2 linked regions of the Styela clava genome follow. The protein of the gene in region 2 purifies or fractionates together with the protein of the main gene of each other region. This does not show direct contact. Links are inferred from orthologs where the notes say so. Each region holds a gene or a part of one and is shown on either strand. Other genes may lie near its edges.

The links.
Region 1: the proteins of RCC1-like G exchanging factor-like protein (region 2) and pseudouridylate synthase TRUB2, mitochondrial-like purify together in Homo sapiens (affinity purification with mass spectrometry; 3 studies listed by BioGRID and IntAct, with this or other methods). This does not show direct contact. The link is inferred for Styela clava from reciprocal best matches to the Homo sapiens genes RCC1L and TRUB2.

What each region holds. Positions count from the first base shown.
Region 1 is NC_135264.1:14,099,348-14,111,300, reverse strand, and holds the start of pseudouridylate synthase TRUB2, mitochondrial-like, read right to left. Parts: upstream 5,047-11,953; 5' UTR 4,837-5,046; intron 3,363-4,836; coding exon of another isoform or gene 3,321-3,362; intron 1,871-3,320; coding exon of another isoform or gene 1,795-1,870; intron 1-1,794. Other genes in the region: galanin peptides-like, read left to right, coding at 1,795-1,870, 3,321-3,362, 5,140-5,229, 5,525-5,595; uncharacterized protein LOC120333741, read right to left, coding at 7,369-7,635, 8,044-8,128, 8,565-8,697, 9,083-9,289, 9,759-10,615, 10,925-10,994, 11,731-11,953. UniProt on the Homo sapiens protein: Minor enzyme contributing to the isomerization of uridine to pseudouridine (pseudouridylation) of specific mitochondrial mRNAs (mt-mRNAs) such as COXI and COXIII mt-mRNAs.
Region 2 is NC_135256.1:22,137,345-22,149,129, reverse strand, and holds RCC1-like G exchanging factor-like protein, read right to left. Parts: upstream 6,365-11,785; 5' UTR 6,023-6,364; coding exon 5,794-6,022; intron 5,330-5,793; coding exon 5,193-5,329; intron 4,801-5,192; coding exon 4,624-4,800; intron 4,532-4,623; coding exon 4,414-4,531; intron 3,751-4,413; coding exon 3,536-3,750; intron 3,004-3,535; coding exon 2,470-3,003; 3' UTR 2,336-2,469; downstream 1-2,335. Other genes in the region: DNA repair protein XRCC2-like, read right to left, coding at 7,186-7,977. UniProt on the Homo sapiens protein: Guanine nucleotide exchange factor (GEF) for mitochondrial dynamin-related GTPase OPA1. Activates OPA1, by exchanging bound GDP for free GTP, and drives OPA1 and MFN1-dependent mitochondrial fusion. Plays an essential role in mitochondrial ribosome biogenesis.

The sequences.
Region 1 (11,953 bases), on a different chromosome or scaffold from region 2:
TATCGGTGAGATCTGTGGACACGGAACATAATGGTATAATATCCGTTATATAACCATATCCGCAAGCCGGTAAGACCAGCTTTTTTACACTGCACAGAGATACAGTTTGAGATTAGGTAGCACAGTAAATAATGAACATAAAGGACAAATTCTTCCTTGTCCACAAATATGTCGCGCTACAGTTTTAATGAATCCAATTTGTCAATCCGAAATTATCAACTGATAAAGCTTTATGGTATACGCCTATCTCCGATTCGTGCCGCTTCACAAATATAGCAATATTTGCAAAAAACATTCATCCCAATTACCCATTCTTTGTCGTGCTCTGACGTGCGTAAGAATGCGGCATAAAACTCAAGATCGATTCGCCCAGCGAAATTTTAGTACAATATTAGCGATCGTTGAAGCATTTGGCGCCATGTTCTGTATTTCACACAAATTTACGTAATGCGCTGCAGAAATCTAAGACAGAAATTTTTATTAGTTATTTTCTCCACCTCAAGCACCTTTTAAAATATCAAATGAGCCCTATCTGAAAAATTAAGAAATTACAGTATATAAAAAATTTCGCCCACAGCAATAACTATTTAAAAATTTTGCCCGATTTTGAGGTAATAACTATTTTATTGTATGATAAATTAGCACTGCGAGCAAAATAAGAACTATGAATAAATAAAGAAAAAGTTTTCATTGGTACCACTGCTAAATCGGGCGCCTTTTTGGACGCCCTGTATAGGTAATCTTAAACCAGCTAATAGTCTTATCGACTTTTTTTACCCGATATAGACAAAAAAAATCGAAAACTAATTCCAACAAAACTATAGTAGTATTTTAGATGTACACATTTTAGTATATATTTCCTCAATATTCATTATCTTGAAATTGATTTGCTTGTGGCGTATAGCCCAGATTTGAATTTAATTTTTTGCATTTCAATAAAAACGTCTTTAAAATTTAATGAATAACATGACGGCCATTTTAAAACATAGATGAACCGACATTGGTGCAGTTCAATATCTAAGTGCTCGTTCTAGGTTGGTCATTCCGAGACGGAGATCGAACCTTAAAATAGAAATAAGGGGACTAAAATCACTTCGAGAAATTTAATATTCTGCCCAATTTCAACAATCATGAAGATAAAATTGGGCTCAAACTGGTTCTAATTCCCTGCAATTTCGTTCGTCTAATTAGGGATTCCAAGCAGATACAGAGATTCAGTTTTCTATGTAACTCTCAATATGTGTATAGCACTAAAGAAAGTCATGAATCTAAATCTACTTACAGTTCAATTACGAAAAATTTAGAATATTGTCAAAGTTCAACATTTGGTCAAACACACTTAAAAACTTGTCATAACTGCGGTGAATTTGATATTACGCAATTTCGTAAATAGGAAAGCCTAATTCGATCATTAAAGCATAAAATATATAACGCTCACGGAAAGAGTAAAAAATAAATTTTTCAGACAGGGTCATGAGTAGGCTTGAAAAGATTGGGACATTATTATAAAACTCTGACGCACGTGACCTGCGAGAATTTGGTAACATTTGATATAGTTCTTTCAAAACTTAAAGGAGTTTAAATTCTCGTAAAAATTTTTTTGATTGTTTTTGTATATTTGCAACTCCTATTTGAAAATGAAATCCATAATACGAAAATTTTTTGAAAAGTTTTGTCAATGCTTTTAGGGATAAATCAATTTAATGCGGTAATTCAAATGTATGTCCTCAAGCTTTGCAAAAATTCATGTTGTTCAAGAAAAAAATTAAATGATTGTATTTTTTTTTTTTACAGCCAAGCAGTAACAAACGACCCTACCGCGGAACTGGAGGATGGACCATGAATAGCATTGGCTACAATGCTGGACTTGGTGAGTCGAAGATTATTTATTATGGTCACTATTTATCTAGAACGAAAATGTTTTCAATTTCGCTCGAAATCTCTTTTCTTCGATATTAATAAAATAAAAATTTTGAATACGGCGGAGTGATAGCGCGTAATATCAGATCCCAAAAATTTCAAAAATTTGTTAAAGACGCAAATTTAAAGTTATATTCAGTAACGCACCATTTTTTCTAATAAAGTTCTATTTTGAGGTAGAACAACGGAAAACCGAGCTGCTGTAAATGATTTTCGGGGAAGAAAATGATCTCTGTAGAATACATTTTCAAGACAGTGGATTAACTATATGTTAATTGTAAACATCTGGAATGACAATTTCAAAAATTCTAGCTTGATTCTTTTTAAATATAACTATTTAAAGGCAAATACAGCCATTAAAACAGAATAATATTATTTATTCATGATCTAAGTGCCTTCTTTGTCACAAATTACAGGATTACAATCTTGTTAATGGAAAACTTAGCAGAACATTTCTTCGAAAGCAAAATAATTGGGGATGCAAATGCATTATTGGAATCAAGTATCACCTCCTTATCCACTCTAATTGAAAAATAATTAAAATGGGAGTGAATGGGCGCTAGGACCGTCGCTAGTCACCGTTTCCAGTTCTCTTCAAGCAACATAGAATAATAATGTCTAACAATGGTGTATATTATTTCATCTAAGCTTGACATCCTTGTTTTTCGTATCCAATTTAAACTCAAATTGAACAACTATCTGCTATTAAAAAGTAAATAAAATGGGGATGGACGAGCGCCAGGACCGTCGCTGGTGACCGTGTGTAGTGAATTGGAAACCTCGATATAAGGGTTTATGCAACCTAAATCTAAAGCACACTTAGAATAAATCTAAAGTAAAATATAACACAAGTGAATGTTACTAAATAAAAAAAAAACACATTTCGAATTTATGACGATTGCAATAAGCGGACTAGTGGTAAAATGAGTAAAGTTGACTGAAGTAACAACACACTTACAGCACATCTATTATTGCCGTCTGACTTTAATTGTTACATGAATTTACATTCACAAGTTATTACACCGTTTCCAGTTCTCTTCAAGCAAAAAAGGAAAATAACGTATACCAATAGTGTATATTTCATCTAAGCTTGACTCATTATATACCAAATTATTATTTTGCATTTATATTTAAATAAAATTCACGGAAATAAAACAACTATCGCCATTTACGTGATGCATCCTATAAAAATCTTTCTCGATTTTATTGAATATTCAGTCATAAGCTCATAAACAATTCTTAGAAAGGAGTACCAAATATTCGATTTTGTTTCTATTTTCGATATTGTTAAATAAAATCTTTCCCAACTGTTATGTTTCTATTGATTACTACCTTTAAAAAATAGGCATATTGGAGCAAAATTATTTCTGCTGATTACATTTCATGTTTTATTGTTACAGATGCCCTTCAAAAGCTGTTTGGAAAAAGAGACGGAATACAAGGTCAGTAAGGTTTGAATTTTTTAAATAAAATAAAAAACATCAAAACTGACATTAAACCTGTTTAATCCCACAGAAAATAATATTAACGCATGATTGAGCATTGAAAAATAAAACTAATTCTAAAACCTCAACAAAAGTACCAGAAATGCTCTGGAGAAATTACTGAATCAAAATTCATTTTTCAGACTAAATATAAAATTTTCATATTCACCCCCGAGGGTGAGGAAAGCAGCGAGGCGGCTTAATCATATAGCGGACCATGACTTCTAATCTGGTTCATCAAATTCCTGCGCCAAACTGATTCCGCATCATTAACATATAAATGATTCATTTTATGCAAATTTTTAGTGAATTCACCAACTTTTTATAATACCCTTAATTTGGTTGTAAAATATCTCAGATTATTATCTCGGAGAAGGATTGATTCTCTAAAAATCAATACTCGTTAGCACCAATCAACCGCGTGAATTTATTCAATTTTTTTAGCATTATTAATATTACCCTCGAGTCAATTAAAATAACACCTACTGCAATAAATTTATTCCGCAACTAAAATAATATCGTAAACATAATATGGTTTGCATATGTCTGTTATGGAGCCTGTGCATGTCCGCAGTTAACGATAAATCGACGGCGGATATTTTTGAAATTAGGCGACAGTGGCTGTAACGTTAACTCTGGGCAATCATTGCATTTTAATACCCGCGCTGTGAGGTTTTGGTGATATTTCGATCGTCAATTTATATAAGATGATATTGCTCAGAAATATCTAGAGTCTATTCCCAACCTTTCATTTGTCGTGGCCCCGTTCAGGATGCTTTTGGCACTCATGGCCTCCCTGTTTATCATTCCAGGGGTATTTATAGCGTTATTTTGATTGGTAGATTCCAGATCCCATTCTGTTCAAATAATTCATGCACGAAAAAGTGAAAACGCAATAAAACTAAGAAGTAACGAAGAGTATTCTTGTGAAATGGAAAGTAAAATCAGTTTTACGCCTAGCATTGTGACTCCCGCGTTCCTCACAATCTGTAACTTTAAAATTAAGCATACGCAGTCGACTTAAAATTACTTTACGCGCCGAATATTCTACGATCCACACGCCGCAATGAAAGATGCAAAACGATGCGCTGGTGCGACCAATCATCTGACAACTGTTTGATTGGTGCGCAGGAATACCGTAAACAACACGCTCATCGATAACTATACCATAGGTGGAAAGACAAAACTAGCATGCAAATGTATTACCATCATTTAGATTAGACGTTCCCCATTTTGAGAGCACTGCATTATCCAGATGTGTTATTATTGATACATTGAGGTAAATTTCGTAAAACGATGCACTCGAAATGTTTGGCCAAGAGACTTGTTATAGCGCTACTTATCGTGTGACTATGACGTATGTCTGTACAGTAGTGGGTATGTCTGAGCATAGATAATATTGGTACATAGTATAAATGTTATAATGAAATACCTCATTGGTCCACTTTGCTTGGTTTGAATAAAATTCCTTCCCATTATGTATTGAGTTGAAAATGATGATTAGAAAACGAAAATACGCAGACGACGAACGTAACAGTCCACGCTCAAAAGCCGAAGACTAACATGATCAACACCCGTGACTGGCGAATTATGACGTCATTGCAACTGAACCACACTTTTGTGTCGGTAAATCCGCGAGAAGATTACTGTATAATATTCTGAAAAATTTCAAAGATATAAACCTATGTCATAACTTTTGAGCAATGGTAGTAAATTTTGTTGTTCTCGTTTTCAGGAGCTACCGATGAAGACCCCACGTTAGCCATTGGTGAAGATAACATCAAAGAACTTCTTGACGAGTTTGTATCTTTCTTGGAACTCAAAGGTAAACATTTGATAGATTCTTTTACGTAAACACTTTCAATTAAGAAATATTTTATCGTAAAATAGCGATAAGAAGTAAGTATGCAGAATGGCGCTTCGGTATAATACTAAATATCAAATTATTATAGCCAAATGTGAGTTATTCCTTCGTCCCTAGCCGACACTGTCAGCGCAGTAAGGGTGAGCTAATATAAATTTAACGCTCAAAGTCTAGAAAATTGCTGAAAAAATGGTCTAAGACAGATAGACGGATCAAATTAAACTAATTCAACTCTTGTTCTAACTTTTTATCACAGAAAGCGGTCTCCTCGGTCCCGCTCTTGTTCGATGCCTGAGAACAGAATTGACTTCAACAGTGGACAAGTAGAGAAACAATTTTCAATATGAGTTCTTTTTCTGATAATACACAAACCATATATAAATCATATTTCTAAAGTATGATAAATATATGGTAATGTTCGATCAGAAAAAAATATCTAAAATCATTGAATAATTGTGTAAAAAAGTGCATTTTAATATTTTTCCTGCATTTTCCTGTGATAGTTTTTGTAATTGTTGAATTTTCATTCTAAAATATTTCATCATTTAATATCTGCTCTATAATGACATCATATGTGAATTGAGGTCATCCTTCATTGAATTGAATCAGGATTTTCATTGTTTCTTTTGAACTTTTATGACTCAATAATTATCACGAGGTCACTCCAAAAATATGACTGGTAGTAGGGGCTCTTCCTCATAAAGATTATCCTAGTTAATTAATTACTTGAAACTTGTGCAGCTACCCCCAAATTGATTTAAAAAAAAATTAAACTATAATTTGAATCATGTGATATTTCTCCACCAAGCAATATATATTAATTCTATTTTATCTGTTTTAACTTTAACATAACACAATCTCTGCATATTTACACGAATTCATGCTATACATACATGAGTCAGACGATAAAAAACATATAACATTGAAAGAGTTGAGCCTGCTATCCAGCTACCAAATACATAGAAACTATTTTTGAAATTCCTATTTCCATTATTGCCCCAAATAGTAGTTCTGAGTATTTTTTGTTTTTTCTTCTTTCTTTCAATAAAATTTCTTGTAACTAGTTTCCATGCATATGTTGGCTTACTTGTACTTCCGATGTCCGTAGGAGGTCTGCAATATGGGCGGCAATATAACGTAGACGGTGATGGGGAGTTGCCTGGAACGCTCATTGCTGGAATTGTTGTTAGTTCCCACTTCCTTGGCCTGGGCAGGCCGCACCATATGAGTGACGTGTGCAACGTTCCTTCTAAGTCTAAGTGCTTGCTTAGTTGCGCGGAATAGAAGGCCATGTGAGCTCCAAAAAAAGGTCTGCGCGCGATATGAAGTATGTATTTAGCTTGTCTTGTTGTCAATACTTATGCAGTGCGCGGCAGAACGAAAGTACTGCGCGGAGATTCTCGGCCAGCTTAGAGGGAACGTTGGACGTGTGTATCTTTGTCGAAACACATTTTTCGTGGCCCATTAATTTTAGAATAATCTATAATTCACTTGTGTGCTTATCCGAGCGTCTACAATATTCAGATCCAAATAATCCACCGTAGTTGGAACCATGAAATTTTTTTTTTCTTTTACAAATATGACAACGATTTCACTAATCCAATGTCAACAGCTCAGCTATCCGTACGTCTTCGAAGGCTGAAATTTATGGCGCTGACGGGGAAAGGGTTAAACTTGGTCATCGGAAAAATGTCTTGTGCAAGCTTTCATACATAAGTGCTAAAAAATATGTCTGATGCTGAAATCTTATATATATGATTTCAAAACAGACTTTGGAAAAAAAACAAGTTTTAAAAAAATCAGTTTATTGTACATAATATAAGTTAGCTAAAACAAGCTTTTACATAGAATTAATAGAATAGAATTCATAGAATTAATAACATAAAATTAGAAAAAAGTACAGAGACAGACTAAAAATTATTTTACTTCAATATTTAATTAGTTCTGTAATGTGTGACCAAAACTGTTCACATGTATTCACCAAATCGAGTTGATATTTGCGCATTTTTAGATATTCTTAGTTTCAAAATGACGAGCGGACGAGTTGATCCAGAAACAGGTTCAAATATTTCAGTCAAACGATAAAGAGTAGGTTTTTATTTATTCACAATTTAAAAAGACTGTAAAATAATACAAAATGAACGCAATCGAGAGTACAGAAAACTTTGATTTGATGACATCACCGGAGTTGCCATTGCAACAATAAGCGCTTTCTTGAACAAAACTGACAATCTGTGACGTGGCTAATTTTCGAGATAGGCATTCGTATCCAGGCCATCTAACTTGGTTAGGATCACAAGTATGAACCATTTTAATCAGGTGTTGATCATCGTTGTACCATCCCCATGTATCGCTCTTGTAACTCGACTAAAATTTGAGAAAAAAAAACGCAATTAGAATTATACATAGCCTGTTATACTTTTCAGATAATATAATTTGAAATATATATATAAGAATACCAGAGATAGGGAAAGAGATAGACTCATATTTCGTCAATCAGAAAAAAGAAGCAACAATAAAAAGATATACAATAACATACGCAAAGTTTTTTTTTTTTTTGTATAGACTGGAAGGAGCAATACGACCATGTGGTCATCAGAGCCAGCTCCTCCTAACTTTTAGGTTGCTAACTAGGCGCCGTGTCAGAGACTGTAGATAAGTAATTTGGGGTCAATGTACCAGTGGTTATTATGTAAAAAATATGCACATAATATTATTTTTTATTTGAAACCAAAAAGTATGTTATTCTGAAATATGCAAGAAAACTTTACGTACCTTCTCCCAAACATCAAACATTTCCTCCAATGTACAAATATGTGAATCGAGGGACTCACAACCTTCTTTTGCAGAATGGTAATTACTAAAAAAAAGAAATATTAGGTATGAATTATTGATTCACATCGAGATTTTATGTTACAAAAGCCTCACGACCGGTTATCGTGAAAGGAAATTACTAGAAAAAAAAAGATGTTATAGTTTCGCAATTCAGCTGGAAGTAATTTTCAATTTCATTTTTTTCTAATTCTGTTATACACTTTTTTCTTGCATTGATTTTTGCATGATAAAAATAAAATATCTGAATCTGATTTTCGTTACAATCGGAAATAGGTTCGACCGAGTTCGTTTCAAGTGTAAAACATTGCATATATGTTACAATGGTATATCGATAAAAATCTAATTCTGTATAAGAAGGTCAAATAATACGAGTAAAACGGTGATTTTAATCAATAACAGCACTTCAACTTTACCCAAACGGTCAAAAGTGAATTTAACATACTGAAGGGTAGTTTTCTAACCTGAATTTTCTATCTGTGACATTTGCGCCACGCATGATTGAACAACAATATCCTTTCAATGCTGTAGATAGCTGCACTGGAGTGTGACCAACGACACCATTATGACATTTATAACCTTGCCATTTGACTTCGCCTGTGAAAAAAATAATAATTTATGTTAAATATCATATTTATTTGCATAGTTAGACATTTCTATCTCGTTGTAAGAGCATAACACTATACGCGTTCAGCGATAATTCAAACACTATGTTAAATGTTTTCGAACTGTCGCTAGAATAGAGGTCGTGATACCATAAAAAGTGGCAAAAGATTAAAACTCCTACATACGTACGTCGTCCCAAAAAGTACTTGAATCAATAAACGACAATTCTAAACTCGAAAATCCGAAACTAAAATAACCCAATCAGCCAAAAAGCGTTGTTTTCTTAAAAAATCAGCGGTAATAGTGCTTTGAGCCCAATAATTTTCACATCAATGCGTTTTTTCTGTAAAAAAATAAGTAATAAAATTACATTCACCTGGCAAACAGTCATGTATACCGGCTGCTCTCCCTTCCATACCAAACCATCCCCATTCAATGAGAGGTATTGGCCCAGCTTGCTTAGCTGCTTCCAATTGTGGAAGACTACATAATATTTTATTCTCAAACGCGCATGCGTCTGCGGCTTCTTCCCGATAGCGATAGGAATCTTCAGTTATGGAAAGGATGAGATTCGGTGGCTCTTCTGAAAAATACAGAATTTATAATAAGAAAATTATAATCATAGAATTGGTCTATCCAATTCATATTTTTATATTTGAGGAAAAGACAGCCGATAGAATGATTTAATCATATGACGAGCGATGACAAGCGCGTTCCTAATGCTTAGAACAGTTTACTTTCATGGCCCAGTTTTGATCAACAAAAATTTTGTGGCCTATTATCTTTTTTTATGAAAAGGAGAAACAACAAGGAAAAACTAAATCTTCGTGCAATAATGGGCACTTTTACGTTAATAATTAGAATGAAAATTACATTCCGTAGCAGAAAACAGTTACTATAATCAAAATTAACTATGGTGACAAAAATAAAATCAGCAATTTTTAATAGGCCTGTGGGCCATCTCAAAATGTTTCCGTGGCTCCAACATATTCTGAACTTGGTCATTTCACTTAAAATTACAAAAATAAATAAAGGGATTAGAAATCACTCACCAACAATTGTTTCTTCATGGTTATAGTATTCATCATATGGTCCGTTAGGGTCTGTGTAATAATCCTCATACTCGGGGGGTTCGGTTTCGTCTTCAAAAACAGGCTGCATTGGTGGTCGAGGGGTGTCTGAACTCCCCCCAATGGGGATTATTTCATTTGAAATGGGGGTGTTCCCATCAACTCCTGCAGAATTACTGCTACTGCCACCGAGTGGTACGATTGGTCGATTTGAACTCAACGGATTTGGATTAAATAATGGACTTCTACCTCCAATAGGCACAATTGGGTTGTTTGGAGACGTGCCACCACCTAGTGGAACAACAGGATTGTTTGAAGATGTGCCGCCACCTAGTGGAACGATGCGATTGTTTGCAGATGTGCCGCCACCTAGTGGAACGATGCGATTGTTTGCAGATGTGCCTCCACCTATCGGAACAATGGGATTGTTTGGTGATCTGACGGGAACTATTGGGTTGTTGTTGTTTCCACCAGCTAAAGCACTACCTGGCGAATTTGCTGCAACTGGCGCCACTGGTAGATTAGGTTGGGGATTTGGCACTGGGATGTATACTGGACCGTTTTGAGTTAAAACAGGCCACAATCCAAATGTTCCACCGGATCCTCCGGAAGTGCCAGGAGCAGCACCGGAATTACCGGTTCCTCCGGATACGGCACCACCACCAGTTCCAGCTAATCCTCCAAGTCCATTTGAGCCTCCGCCTGCAGTAGAACCTCCTGCTGCTGCACCTGCACCTTGTCTCCTCGGCGATCCTGCATTACCTCCAGTTCCAGATCCCGCATTAGAACCAGTGAACAAAGGATGGTTTCTTGGGAAATTTGCCGGCAGACCAGATCCGCTAAAAATACAGGAGAATAAAATAACAAAAAATATGAAGAAAATGGGAAAATTGAAATAGCATAAAGAAATGGTTGTAACAGTTACTATTTTATTATGCATTTTAGAAAGTTCCCAAATAATAGGCAATAGTAAAAACAAATTCCTAAATGAATTCATTTTACAATTATCCTACATCTATAACATAGCACAGATATCTGTAATTCAAAGCAGTAATTTAATCTTATGCTATATGTGGGAAGAAGGAATACTTTTGTCCTGCGATTAAATATAAGGATTGTGTATTGAAAATAATTTAAGTCAAACCTACCCTGATGATCCCCCCCCTCTTGTCCTCAACGGTGGTAAATTTCCTAGTGGTGCAACCGTTCCTGGTACGTCTACATGGTAAAAATGACAATAACGGATTATGAAATTATTTATATATACACGCTATATATACATGATTAGTAATAATACCATTTTAGTTTATTGGACACGAAATATACATATGGATGAATCGTTTGGTGTATTATGTTGTTGTTAGGTTGTTGTCGCAAGAAAGCTATTACTTCTATTCATTTCAAGTTTCCTGTGAGCCCTATGGTATTTGGTTCAGGACTTGAAAAGAAAGACAATTATTTCATAACGTTAAGAAGAAAAATGTCAACAACTAGAATAAGAACAACAACACAATAACAAAACGATCAATATGCACACTTCGTGTAGGACGTTTTAAGCAATTCTATGCAAGTCTACGCAAAGTAGTCACAGATATTTCTGGACCTACTATTTTCAAAAAGACTGGAATGTTTCTTTATTTTCAATCTGAAATAATACACCAACACAAATATATTATGCATGCGTTTTGCAAATTATAAATTAGTTCTAATTATTGGTATTATATCTTGTCATAGCCCTTAGTAAATAACAGGGTAGGAAAAATGGATTTAACTGGTTATTCCAAATCAAACTTGATTTAAAAGGCATTTGGCGTCTTATGTTTAAGGCCTATTTTCACCATGTTCTGAAAGCGCTAAAAATTCATTTTTCATTTAATTAATCGAATATTTCATGCAAAATTATTTCGTCTAGAATTACCAAATTTATTTCGAAATATGATAAATTCAAACTCACTGCCAGAGGGGAGGATTCCGGAAGATCCGAAGGATGATGCAGCTGCTCCGCTGAGGCCACCAGAACTGGCAGGTAGTCGTGGGAGAGAAGCATTTCTTGGGATTAACGGCGGTAAAGTAGCTGCAGTTGGTCTGAAAAATGGCGGACGATATTTGACGACGGGTCTTGGCGTTATTTTTCCTTCTTCGTTCGTTTTTGTATTGGGTGGCTCTGCAACGGCTGC
Region 2 (11,785 bases):
AAATTCGGTAATTATTAGCCTTGTTTTAATAAAATTTGACTTTTTATTAAGTTGTATTGCTTCCCGAAATCGTGAGATTGCACTGCAGAAGTGGTTTATTGCCAAAGCAATCGATCAAAAACAATAAAAAAGGTTTCTGGGAATTCGAAAACGAATTCTCAAAAAAGAAATCATTATGCGACGTTCAAGCTTTTCAGTTTAAAACGGCGGCAGGTGAATTGAGTTACTTTAAGATGCCAGTTAAATTTGTGCGACACACGCGAGGATCCACGACTACGCATATTTGTTCCTTTGCCTGTTTAAAATGACCTCAACTCGTTTCTGTTGGTAACCATTATAAGCTCGCTATAGCTTCCCATTGCATTTTTAGTCCTGTAATCTCGGATTGATTAGTGTATAATTTCCTCAATGCAAAAAAACCCTCCGGCCAAAATAGCAATGTTTTGAAAACTATGACTAAGATGCGAAAAAATACCACACCTTGGGCACTTTCCAGTCTGCGAAAACAATTATTCCGTATAGAGCAAGTAACTTTTTTTTCGGGTTTTGTCTGAACTAATGCATTAGACATTACGGACATCAAGGATAATATTATACATGTACAAGTCATGTTCATGTTTCCCCCTAAGCTATACATAATTATATTCCAGTTTCTGTAAATCCTTTTTTTATATTTTGGCTCAATTTTTAAATGGCTTTTGTACCGCGGCTTCAAATTGAATCATTTGTTTTTCAAATTGTGTGTTTGTTGTGGAGGTTCACAGCTGGGATTTTGGTGGATTAGTGAAGAGGTTTCAAGAGTGTGGTATAAATTCGTTCTCTATTTACGCATTCATGTTTGATGACATTCAGTGCGGCTACTATGCTTTAACTTTCGAAAGCCGTTGCTCTATCGATATATGCACCTACTTTTTTACTTTCAGAATTAATAGCACGAATGTCGGCCGGTCACGTCAGTGAATATTCACCATCACGTTCTGTTTTCAATTTATACGAACTGTGTATTATAACTCCTTGCGATTGTTTTCTTATTCATAGCCCGTACATTGAGACATTTGGGACAGACGAAATAAAATTCAAAGCCGAAAATAATCTGATTCGTTTCCAGTAAATATGAATAAATTCAGTTGACCAAACAAGCGTAGTCACAGCACATTTGCATATGGATCTTTTATGTATTTGCTGCAGTATTACCAGTGTTCTTTATTATTACTATAATACTTATTTAGGCACACATATAATTGAATTAAACTACTTGATTTGTTCAAAAGCGGGAATGAGACTTGCACATAACACTGGGATTCACATACTTAACCTCCGTGTAGAAAGCCGATAAGATAAGAGGCGCACGCTATTTATACCATATTCATAAGACTTCTAGCCCCTATTTCAGTTATGTATTTGATCTCTGCACAGTATTGTATTCCTATGAACCGCATAGGTTGCCTCAGCAGTCAAATAAAAACAATGTATACCACTGCCGCTTTGTTTTCATGTTTTATTTCCCATATTTCGAATTCAACTGAATATTCTAACTAGGGCTGGGAATGGTTAACCGATTTTAGATGGTTAACGGTTACAATTTATTCTAACCGTTAACTGACATCTTAGGTACAAATTATCTTTATAATGTACAACTTTTTTAAAAATGATTACGTCATCGCAAATTTATCTCCTGTGGCATTTAATTCTAAAGAATAACACTATCTGTATTGGTAAGGACCCAATAAATGTGAACAATAAGTACTAAGATTGCTGATTATAAAAATTTGACAATGATAAATTCAGTTTTCGGTGAAAATATTTTGTTCCCGATTTTATTGCAAAATCGTATATTCAATGTCATTCAACAAGTTCGCAGTAGATGCCGTTTTTCTTTATGATATCTCAGAGTATAATTTGCACGTCCAACACTGAAAATTTGTCACATAAATGACATTTAATAATGGATTCGGGTTTTATTAAAATACTTTCAGATGTCCGAATCACGCTGCATATCTCTTGTAGCAGAGCGATCACGATTCGTGAATAATTTTGAGCGATAGCGGGATAAGATCACCCGAAATTGCTCTGTAACCGTTGTGACGTAACTAGCTAAAATTATAAATTATTATGTCAAAGGTTACGTTGCGGTTAACCGGTTAATTTTACCCGGTAAAAGTGTATTCCCTGAAATTCCCAGCCCTAATTATAACAGATTATTACAATATCTTATTCATGGACACTTTCATGGCAATCTTCTGATGCTTCTGCCACTGATCAAATATAGACGGCGCAGGACTGGACGCCAGCATTTAGGCAGGCACAACCAAGATCTTCAAAGCGAATAAACTAAGAGTTTTATATCATATTTTAATGCAAATGCTGTTGAAATCATTTTTCTCATAACAAATATATCTACCAGCGACCTGAAACTTTCCTGCCACACCAAAGAAAATGCGTCCATAAAATATAATATTAATTCAGGAATTACAACATAGACTTTGACAGTATAACGGTATGATCAACACCACAGAACACATCGACAACTTCTCCAGGCACCAAGACTTTCCATGGAAAATATTGGTCCCTGTATTCACCAATACCAAGGCAACCAGATTTGTTTTTTCCCCATGTAAAAAGTTCTCCATTATTTGTAACAGCAGCAAAATGATTCATTCCACATTTGATTTTGGTAACTTTTACACTTGGACTGAAAGTAGACTCTCCAAATAATGTTTGGGGAATTTTTTCTGGGTGTCGCGAGTCTTTCAAATCGGGACCTTTCCCTAAAATTCCATATCCCCAAACAAATACCTCTCCCTCTTCATTTAGTGCACAGCAAATGCTACCGCCAGCCGCTGCAGAAACAATTTTACCGATATTTTTGAATGGGAGTCTGATTGGAGTGCAAACTTGTGTGTCATCTGTAACGGATGCAAGTTGATAATATTCAGAATTACCCCATCCATATAAATGACCATCTTCGCAAACTGCCATACTCATGTCAGCAAAAGTAGAAATCTATAAATATACATTATTAAATTAATTCCTATCAGCCCTGTATAGTTTATTATAAGTTAGGAAAGCATCTATCAAGGATACGATGAGATATACATATTCATCTTGGAGGAAAGCCGATAAGACAGCATAATCATATGGTGAACCCTATTGCCGCCAAACACACTGCCATTTGTCTTAAAATGGGAAAATTAACAACAACAGAATTTTTGTTGAAACTTTCTATCTTCAAGGAACACGTACCTCAAATCGGTACTCACCCATAAATTCAAGTTGTATAATACTGTAGGCTCTTCCACCGGAATGTGGAATGAAAATTTCATATGAATTAAGAATGATTTTATCCGAGCAACACTCTGGCTCACTCGGAAAAAGTTGCAGATTTATTAGGTTGAAGAAAAAATGAAGCAGAAAAACTTTCCCACCGGGTTGCAGCAACATGCGGCTATGGCATGCATTGTTTATTATGTGATGGTTGACTAATATAATATTAGGCAACACCATATTTGAAATTTTTAAAAACTTCAAAACATACCTGTTGTACTTTAACACCTTCCAAATCACCTTTCAACAACTTTGGTATTCCAGTTTTCTCATATGAGCCAAGACCAGTTTGTCCATCTGCACCCCATCCACATCCGTAAACTTCTCCTGATTTGGTGAGAAATAAACTGTGGTCCATTCCACATGAAATTTGAGTCACTGGTGATAAGAAGTGATTATGTGGTATGCAATGGATCTTCCTGCTACCTGGAAAAAGCAACTCAAAGAATTTGGATCTTCCTGCTACCTGGAAAAAGCAACTCAAAGAATTTGTTCAATAACAATCTTACATCTATTCCATCTCAATTTCTGTAGTGAGTAGTAACACACATACTCGTGGTCTAATTTCATTGGTTCTCAAAGTGCGCCATACAGAGCCCCTGGTCACCACAAGAGAAACCTAAGGGCTCGGCAAACTATCCGTGTACTTATTAGAATACTGATTTGACTAACTTCGTAACTTTCCAGAGAATAATAATGGCATTAATAAATTTTGACAACAGTAGTATTACGGTAATTCAAACTAAGACATTATTAGGTCCCAATAGATAATGCCATGTTTTAATTACTGCCTTGTTGCCACATTTCGACACTACATTATCAATATGTTTGTCATGTGTCAAATTTATGAGGCTTTGTAAATTGTAGTCAACCTCTTAACTGGCTCCAAACCTGGCTCTAACACCAAAAGTTCGGGAACCCCTGGTCTAATGGATGTAAGGGCAGTGGCAACTGGCAACGGTTTATGGTGAAATTTTTTTTACAAAAAGTGAAGAAATGCATTGCAAACAAAAATTTTCTTAGTAAATACTCTTCAAACTGCAAAGATCAATACGTAAAAAATAATGTTTAGAAATATAAAAATGTTACCTTGATATATTTCTCCTTCAATGATTTCTCTACCACACTGTCCAAACGAATTACATCCAAATGAAAATATACCTTCATTATCAGTTAATAAAAGAGTGTGAGCCCGACCACAGGACACCTAGATATGAAATGAATTAAAATACAAATAATGGAATTATATAGCAACAAAAACAAGATACCAGTGTTCACGAAAAAGGTGTCATTGTTTACCTGGGTAACTTTCGTTTTTGAGAAGGAATCAAATGGAATAGGTATTGCTGTTGTTTCCATAACATAATCGAAATGGCCAGATTCTGCAGGACGCCCTTTCGTGACTCCTTTTTGACTACTGTGAAAACCAAGTTGTGATTGAGTGTTTATTCCACTTCCCCAAACCTTGATCAAATCCTATAGTAAAAGCCATATGAATTTGTTCACCTTACTATTCAGAAAAATCAATCTTTTTATGTCAGATGTTATGCATGCATTTTTTGTGCAGTTTTCTAAAAACAAGATTCCTAGCCTTTGCACCAGTGATTCGTAAGAAAACTCAAGGAATAGTTATTTGTGAGCATGACTATCAGTTTATTGGCTAAATCATGTTGGAGCAGCAGGTTGAACGATGTCAATTCATGATTATAACAACATATATTTCCCAAGTTATGTTGTTTGTTTCAATCTTGATTATTCCTTAGTCAAATAACTATCAATCAATTTTCAACACATTTGTGTTACTTTAGATATATATTGATGTCACCTCATATTTGGTAATATTATTCAATCGAGAATGAAATCCTTACTCTATTATTGCTTGCAAATACTGTATAACCATATCCACAACCAACACTTGTTATTTTTAATTTGCCAATATTTGTAAGTCTGATAGGATATCGTCTACTTTGAGTTCTAGATGATTTTTCTCTTAATCCAAGTGCACCTGAAAATCAACATTGAATGAATTGTTATCTGGGAAACAAATCCCTTCATTTAAGTTGAGTTGTGGCTTATAAGTGGATGTATGCCATACATGTGCCATAAATAAGAAGGATACTGTAGCTCCATATGTCCCGTTATGATGAAAATAGATGCGAAAATTAGCAAACATTTATAATGAATAAATTTACGAATTGTGGATAAAGTTTCGAGCTACATATACACCTTTGTACTTGTGTTTTTATAGATTCAAAGATCCTCTTTTAGGAGCACAGGGATGTGCCTATTCACACAAATTATAGCTTATAAAAAAGTTTGTTTACAAACATCTCTAGAATACCTGTTTTATAAATTGAATCGTAAACAAAAAATATGTCCTTATATCATATATCAAGATAGCAAGTACCGTATGTATTAACATAAAAAAAGAATTTGTTGTAAATTAAAAGGCCAAAAAATATAGAATACCTGTTGCTGTCAAGCCACATGCAAATAACATATTTACACGCTTGTGTGTTTTGTCAATATATTTATGAATTGGTAAACCTTCAGATTGGGCAGGATCCCGATCTGATGAAAATGGAAGTGTGGAAGAACATCTTCTTAAAACTTCAGAAAATCTCCAGAAATTGGATTTTTTTCCTGTTTGACATGTTAAAACTTTTCGGCAAAAACAATTCTTACAGACAATTGCCATTTTTTAATCAGAATCTAGAAAAAATGAAGAATAATAAAAAAAAATATAGAAAGAAAAATATCTCAGACAACTTCGAATAAATCACAGAAATCATGTGATAATGTACGTACGAACAGAAAAACATATTCTCCTAAAGTTTTCAACATATAATATTCAACTACTATGAAAAAAGGCATTTTATAGCATTTTAAGACAATTTCTATTCCAGAAGAGCATTTACAAATTGCTGTAATCACCAACCGAAAGTTTAAAATTAAATGCAATGAAAATGGATATAGAAAAATGAAATCAACGGAAATAATTATTGTTTTGTCCAAGGTTGCCTGTGTATCAAATCCATCAACTCTCTTGATCCTTGAGATTAGCAGCTTGTGACTTTATTTCTTTGATGACAGATGCAAGTGCTTCAGGGTTGATACCAAGTTCACATAGTTCTACGCAAATGCTCAATGTTTCAGCATCCAGCTTTGTATCCAATATTTTTGATATTTCAAGTAGAATATCCATTGCTTCTGAAGTTTTTGATGCATCCATTGCCATGGTGCTCATGCAGGCCTAGTCTTTGTTGCAAAATCAGTAGGCTACTATAAATATCTATAGATTATAAAAACTGTTTAAACCTATGTAGTGTTAAAACAATTATACCTAAGTTTTTTTCAATTTTTCTCACACATCAAAAATGAGTACGGTGAGCTAGAATGATCACACTGTCAGACTGTAACGAGAGAATGCAACATCACAGCAGAGTAAAATAGACCAGAGTCTCCTTGTATGACAGGGCTAAACTTATCACTAAATAACTCTTTAAATATCCTGAATACTCTAACTTTGTTCATTGCTTTTACAAGACGAATAAACATACATACATACATTATGCTAATTGGATAGCAGCATATGTCTGTATGTATAGGCAATAACAAGCTCAAAAAATCAGCTGAGATAAGTTATTGAGAAAATGTCAACTCCAAGGTTACTCAATTCTAATAAAATATCAACCAATGCTTGAAATATTTGCTTGGAAAAAATTGCCACAGAAAATATATTTCTCTGTATCATATGAAACTTTGTCATTTTAATATATGTGTAATTAAAAAATTAGTACTAAAATATTAGCAGGAACCGATAAAAATTAACTCAATTATTCCAGTAAAAAGGAGTAGTAACTATTTCACTACACTGCCTTTCAGAGAAAATGATACATCATAATGGCTAGGTGAAAAACAACTAAGAACTACATCTGTCCGATTAAAATCATCAATCTTACTGATGGTTGATGATTTTTTGAATTTTAAAATAAAACGATATGTTACAAAATTCTCCCAAAAATCACCATATAATTTTAGGTTTCTCAGGTCAAATTCCTGGTCAGCATTTTCTGCAGTGATTGGTGGAAACATTTCAAGAGTACGAACCAAAATAGAAAGGTTATATTTTTTATGAAATAAGTCTAAAGCTTTCACCAGTTTTCTATAATTTTGCTCTTTCAAATATTGAGAAAAACCTCCAGCACATTGCTCGTTCCAATGAAATGTAGACAGTCCATCAAGAATTAACAATTTCACAGGTATTTTGCTGTTTGCAATCAAAGGTTCAATTGAATAGAGTGTGATTATCAATTGTTCAACAGAATCACATCTTACAATATAAAACTTTCTTATCCATTCTTTTAGCTTAGATTCATCAGCATTTGTACGCTCTTCCATCATTGAAATCAAAGATAATAAATCAAAATGTTGATTCAAGTCAAAATATATCACACCATAATTGCATCCACCGTGTTCTTCTGGCATAACACAGGTTACTAATGCATTGATCAAAAATATGTTTCCAGGCTCAGTTTCATTGTCGATGATTTCAATGACACTCTCGTCATGAACCTTGCTGGGTTTGACAAGTTTTCTCAAGATTGAGTTGGCCGAGAACACACTTCCAGATGATGCGTGGTGGCTGAACATGATTTACTATTTAACAGATATTATCACAAATTTGCTACTGCTTCATTGTCATTCCCTACAGCACAGCTGTTAGAAGCTAACACTGATTTACTGACAAATACTTCTGTATATTTTTGAACTGTGAAGAAAACCACCAAAGGGTAAAATATGGTTCTAGTTAGGCTTACTGTACGTCCTGGTTTAGCCAGGACAGTCCCGGTTATATCATATTTTTCCGCCGTCTCGGCGATAGACTCTAATGCCCCGGTTTTCAGTATGGCAGTCATAAATAATTTTTCTATTTGATATTATTACAAAATATTTTTTTAACAGATGCAGCTGATTTACGTCTCACTTCACTAGTTCAGATAGGGAGTAAAATTGTTATGTCATAATTATGATATGAAGTATGAACCATGCCTTAATTTAATACCCTACCATGCTGTCGTTGAATCATCGAAATGCCGAAACAAAGTACAAGTTTTATAAGGAGCTGAACAATTTCCAATATTTGAACAAAGTGCAGGCCAATACAGCAATAGAGGATATTTTGACAGGATTAACAGCTCATTTTGATACCCTTAATAATCTATCAGGTCTGGTATAGTTTAGTACCACATCCACTTCTAGTTGGCCTGGCTCAACAATTTTTGCATATGTCAATCCTAACCCCCACCTGACTACGTCACCGAAAAATTACGTCATTCTGACGTCACAGTGGCGTAATAAGGCCCACCGAAGTATGCGGATGGTCGTCCAAAACACGCAGACGATAACCCGAAATCGAGCAAGCTATTTCTCTCGTTTTCTAGTCGCAACGATCACAATAGGAGAGAGATCGCCGGCTTTAGCAAGTTCTTATCGGCGGCGCAGATGCCATTTCGGGCGATCGTAATTATACTTTGGCAACCCCTATGGTGACGTCGTAATGACGTAATTTTTGGATGGAATAGTCAGGTGAGGGTTAGGAATAACATATGCAAAAATCGTTATGGTACGCCCACTGGAAGTACTTGTGGTACTAAACTATACTAGACCCAATCTATCCACAATGGTATTGGAAACGTTTAAACTATTACTAAGCCTCTGGAATCGAACCGAGGTTGGCTTGTCCAATCCGCGTCGTCCCTTTTTTTTTGCTTCAGAAATATGGTTAGCCTAGTTATAGTCATAGAAACGTAGAAAGTACACAACTGCCAGACCATCAGCAACATGGACAGTGAAAATTGAAGGCAACATCAATAGTTGCTCTTGAATCCTATCCTTAGGTCAGTTGGTTCCTTACCGTACCCTTATCGTCACATAGTATACACGATCACATACATGATCTACAGGAGCGGTGACTCCTCTACGGCCCATGGGCCGGGGCCACGGCCCGTCTAATCGGGCCACATGGGCCGTGGCCCATAGCTTGATGGGCCGTGGCCCCATCAGGAAAAATTCAATTATTTTGACAAAATTTTCAAATTTTACCAAATTGTCAATATTCGAACCAAAAAAATATATACTCCTGTAGTATGTGTGCCAGGTTAGGGTTAGGACAAAAAAAATTCAGATTTTTTACATTATAGTTCTATTATGATTTCGGGGACTGTCTGTGTTAGCCAAGGGAATAGTTTCTTTACACAACTAGATGGGCCGAAGCCCAATTCGATGGGCCGTGGCCCCGGCCCATGGGCCGCAGAGGAGTCACCACTCCCACTCTACATGATCAGATGACATCCCGGTATCAGTGTTTAAAAAAACAGTGCAGCAACAACAAGTACCGTTACCGTACCCGTACCTGTATGGTATTTGAATCTGAATATGACGGATAAAGCACAGCAACAATTATGGCTTATTTATTCGGAAGCGGCATAGCATACGGTATTCGAATACCGAACACTTGTTGTTGCGTGCTGTTTTTTCATATTTTTGAACACTGATACACACGTTTTGTTCTCCAATGAACACCAGCCCTCGACACACCCACACGGAGAGAGAGTGGTGTTTATAGCGATTTGTCAATCAGAAAAGTAGGTGACTATACCTAAATGTTTTCACTTGTGAACAGAATTTTTCACCAGGATAGGATAGGATTTACATATTTATCCCGGGAGAGAGGAAATCCGATAAGACGGCTTAATCATATGACAAACCACGGTCTCTCGTCCGGTTACCAGTCCAGAGTCCAGGTATGGGGTTAGTTAGCAAGGTATTTGTTTTCGGAAGCATGGATTTGGTGGTAGAGGAAGCCGTAACCGACCAGCGGTTACGTAAACCATCCTACGCCATACGGCGGCGAGGAGTCAAGCAATCCTCACGCACATGACCATCCCCGCATGGGATTCGACGAAGGGTAATCAGGGATGCGGTGGCGAGCGTATTCCTAACGCTTAGCACAATGCGCCACATCGCCGAACCGTATTCATTCAGTCAGTAGTTTATATTTCACCGAAATGAAAGTGCACTCACACTGGACATAAACTTAAAAAAAGTTGAAAATGACATTTCATGGTGAAAGGTGACGCGAAAATCCAAAGTCGGTTATCGAGCAGCGACACCTGTAATCCACCGACACCTGTATTCAGTAATCAGTATTAAAGGTATATTCACAAATCAATGTACATGCGATCTTTTTTCAACAAAAATATAATTTTTGGCCCATTCGTCCAAAAGAGGGCGGAAAGGATTATGGCGGAAACTGGAAAATCGCCATATGATTTAGCCGTCCTATTGGCTTTTCTCTCCCCCGGGGTGATTATGTAAATCCTATCTTATCTTATATACCAGTGGTTCTCGAACTTTTTGAAAAAATGTGCATAACGGCCCACTTTCAATTTTTCTGATGACTAGCGGTTCACTAAAGAAACTAAAGCAAATAGCAACTTGGTATATGTGCGCGGTAAAAATGTGCATAACGGCCCCCTTTCAATTTTTCTGATGACTAGCGGTTCACGAAAAAAACTAAAGCAAATAGCAACGCGATATATCAATAAAACAGTTCAATGAGATGGGTGTCCCTGCTTGGCTCCCACTAGTTCTTTTACCTTGGCCTTGGTTTCTGTTTCGGGCAATGCAACCTTTATATTGTGTCTCACGTTCATTATGTTCCTACATTTTGTTTTAATAGCGTGTAATGTAGAGAAAGCTGCCTCACATCCGTAAGTTGTTGCAAATGGAATGAGCATCTTTTGTGCCATCTTAGCGACATCGGGATAGAACGGTGCCACTATGGTTTTTCTTCTTCTCCAGACCTTATCACAGCAAAACTAAATTTGACATCTTAATTGTTATATCTAAATTTACCTTTTGTGACGGGGGAGGCATTTTTTAAATTACCCCGAGAAAATTTACAATTAGAAGCACACGCCTTCATAAACAATACGCTCTGATTCACTGACGTTGCCACGTTTATTACGTAATAATGTGTTCGGTAGACGGTGTCGTGCTTTGGAGAAACACAAATTTTACTTTAAATCAATCAAAATTGTCCTGCGGTCCCCCTGAAATCGCTTTGCCGACCCTAAGCGTCCGCGGACCCCAGTTTGAGAACCAATGCTATATACGATTCACAATGAAATGGTCATTATTATTGCAACAGCTTAAGCGTTTCAAAAGTATAACAGCCTGGAAGTTCCTATACATTCGACTATGTTTTGTTTGCTTATTTCTGGCCCAAACCTTGTTTTAACTAGGTTTGTGTTTTTTGTAATTTATTTTTCTGTTTGTGCAGGTGGGCGGGCACATGATATTTCCCATGTTTTAAACTTGTTGAGAAGTATTGCTTGCCCTGCAGAATTCTCCATTTTAACTTTCTGTATATTATTGAGTATTCGAGTCTGTGAAC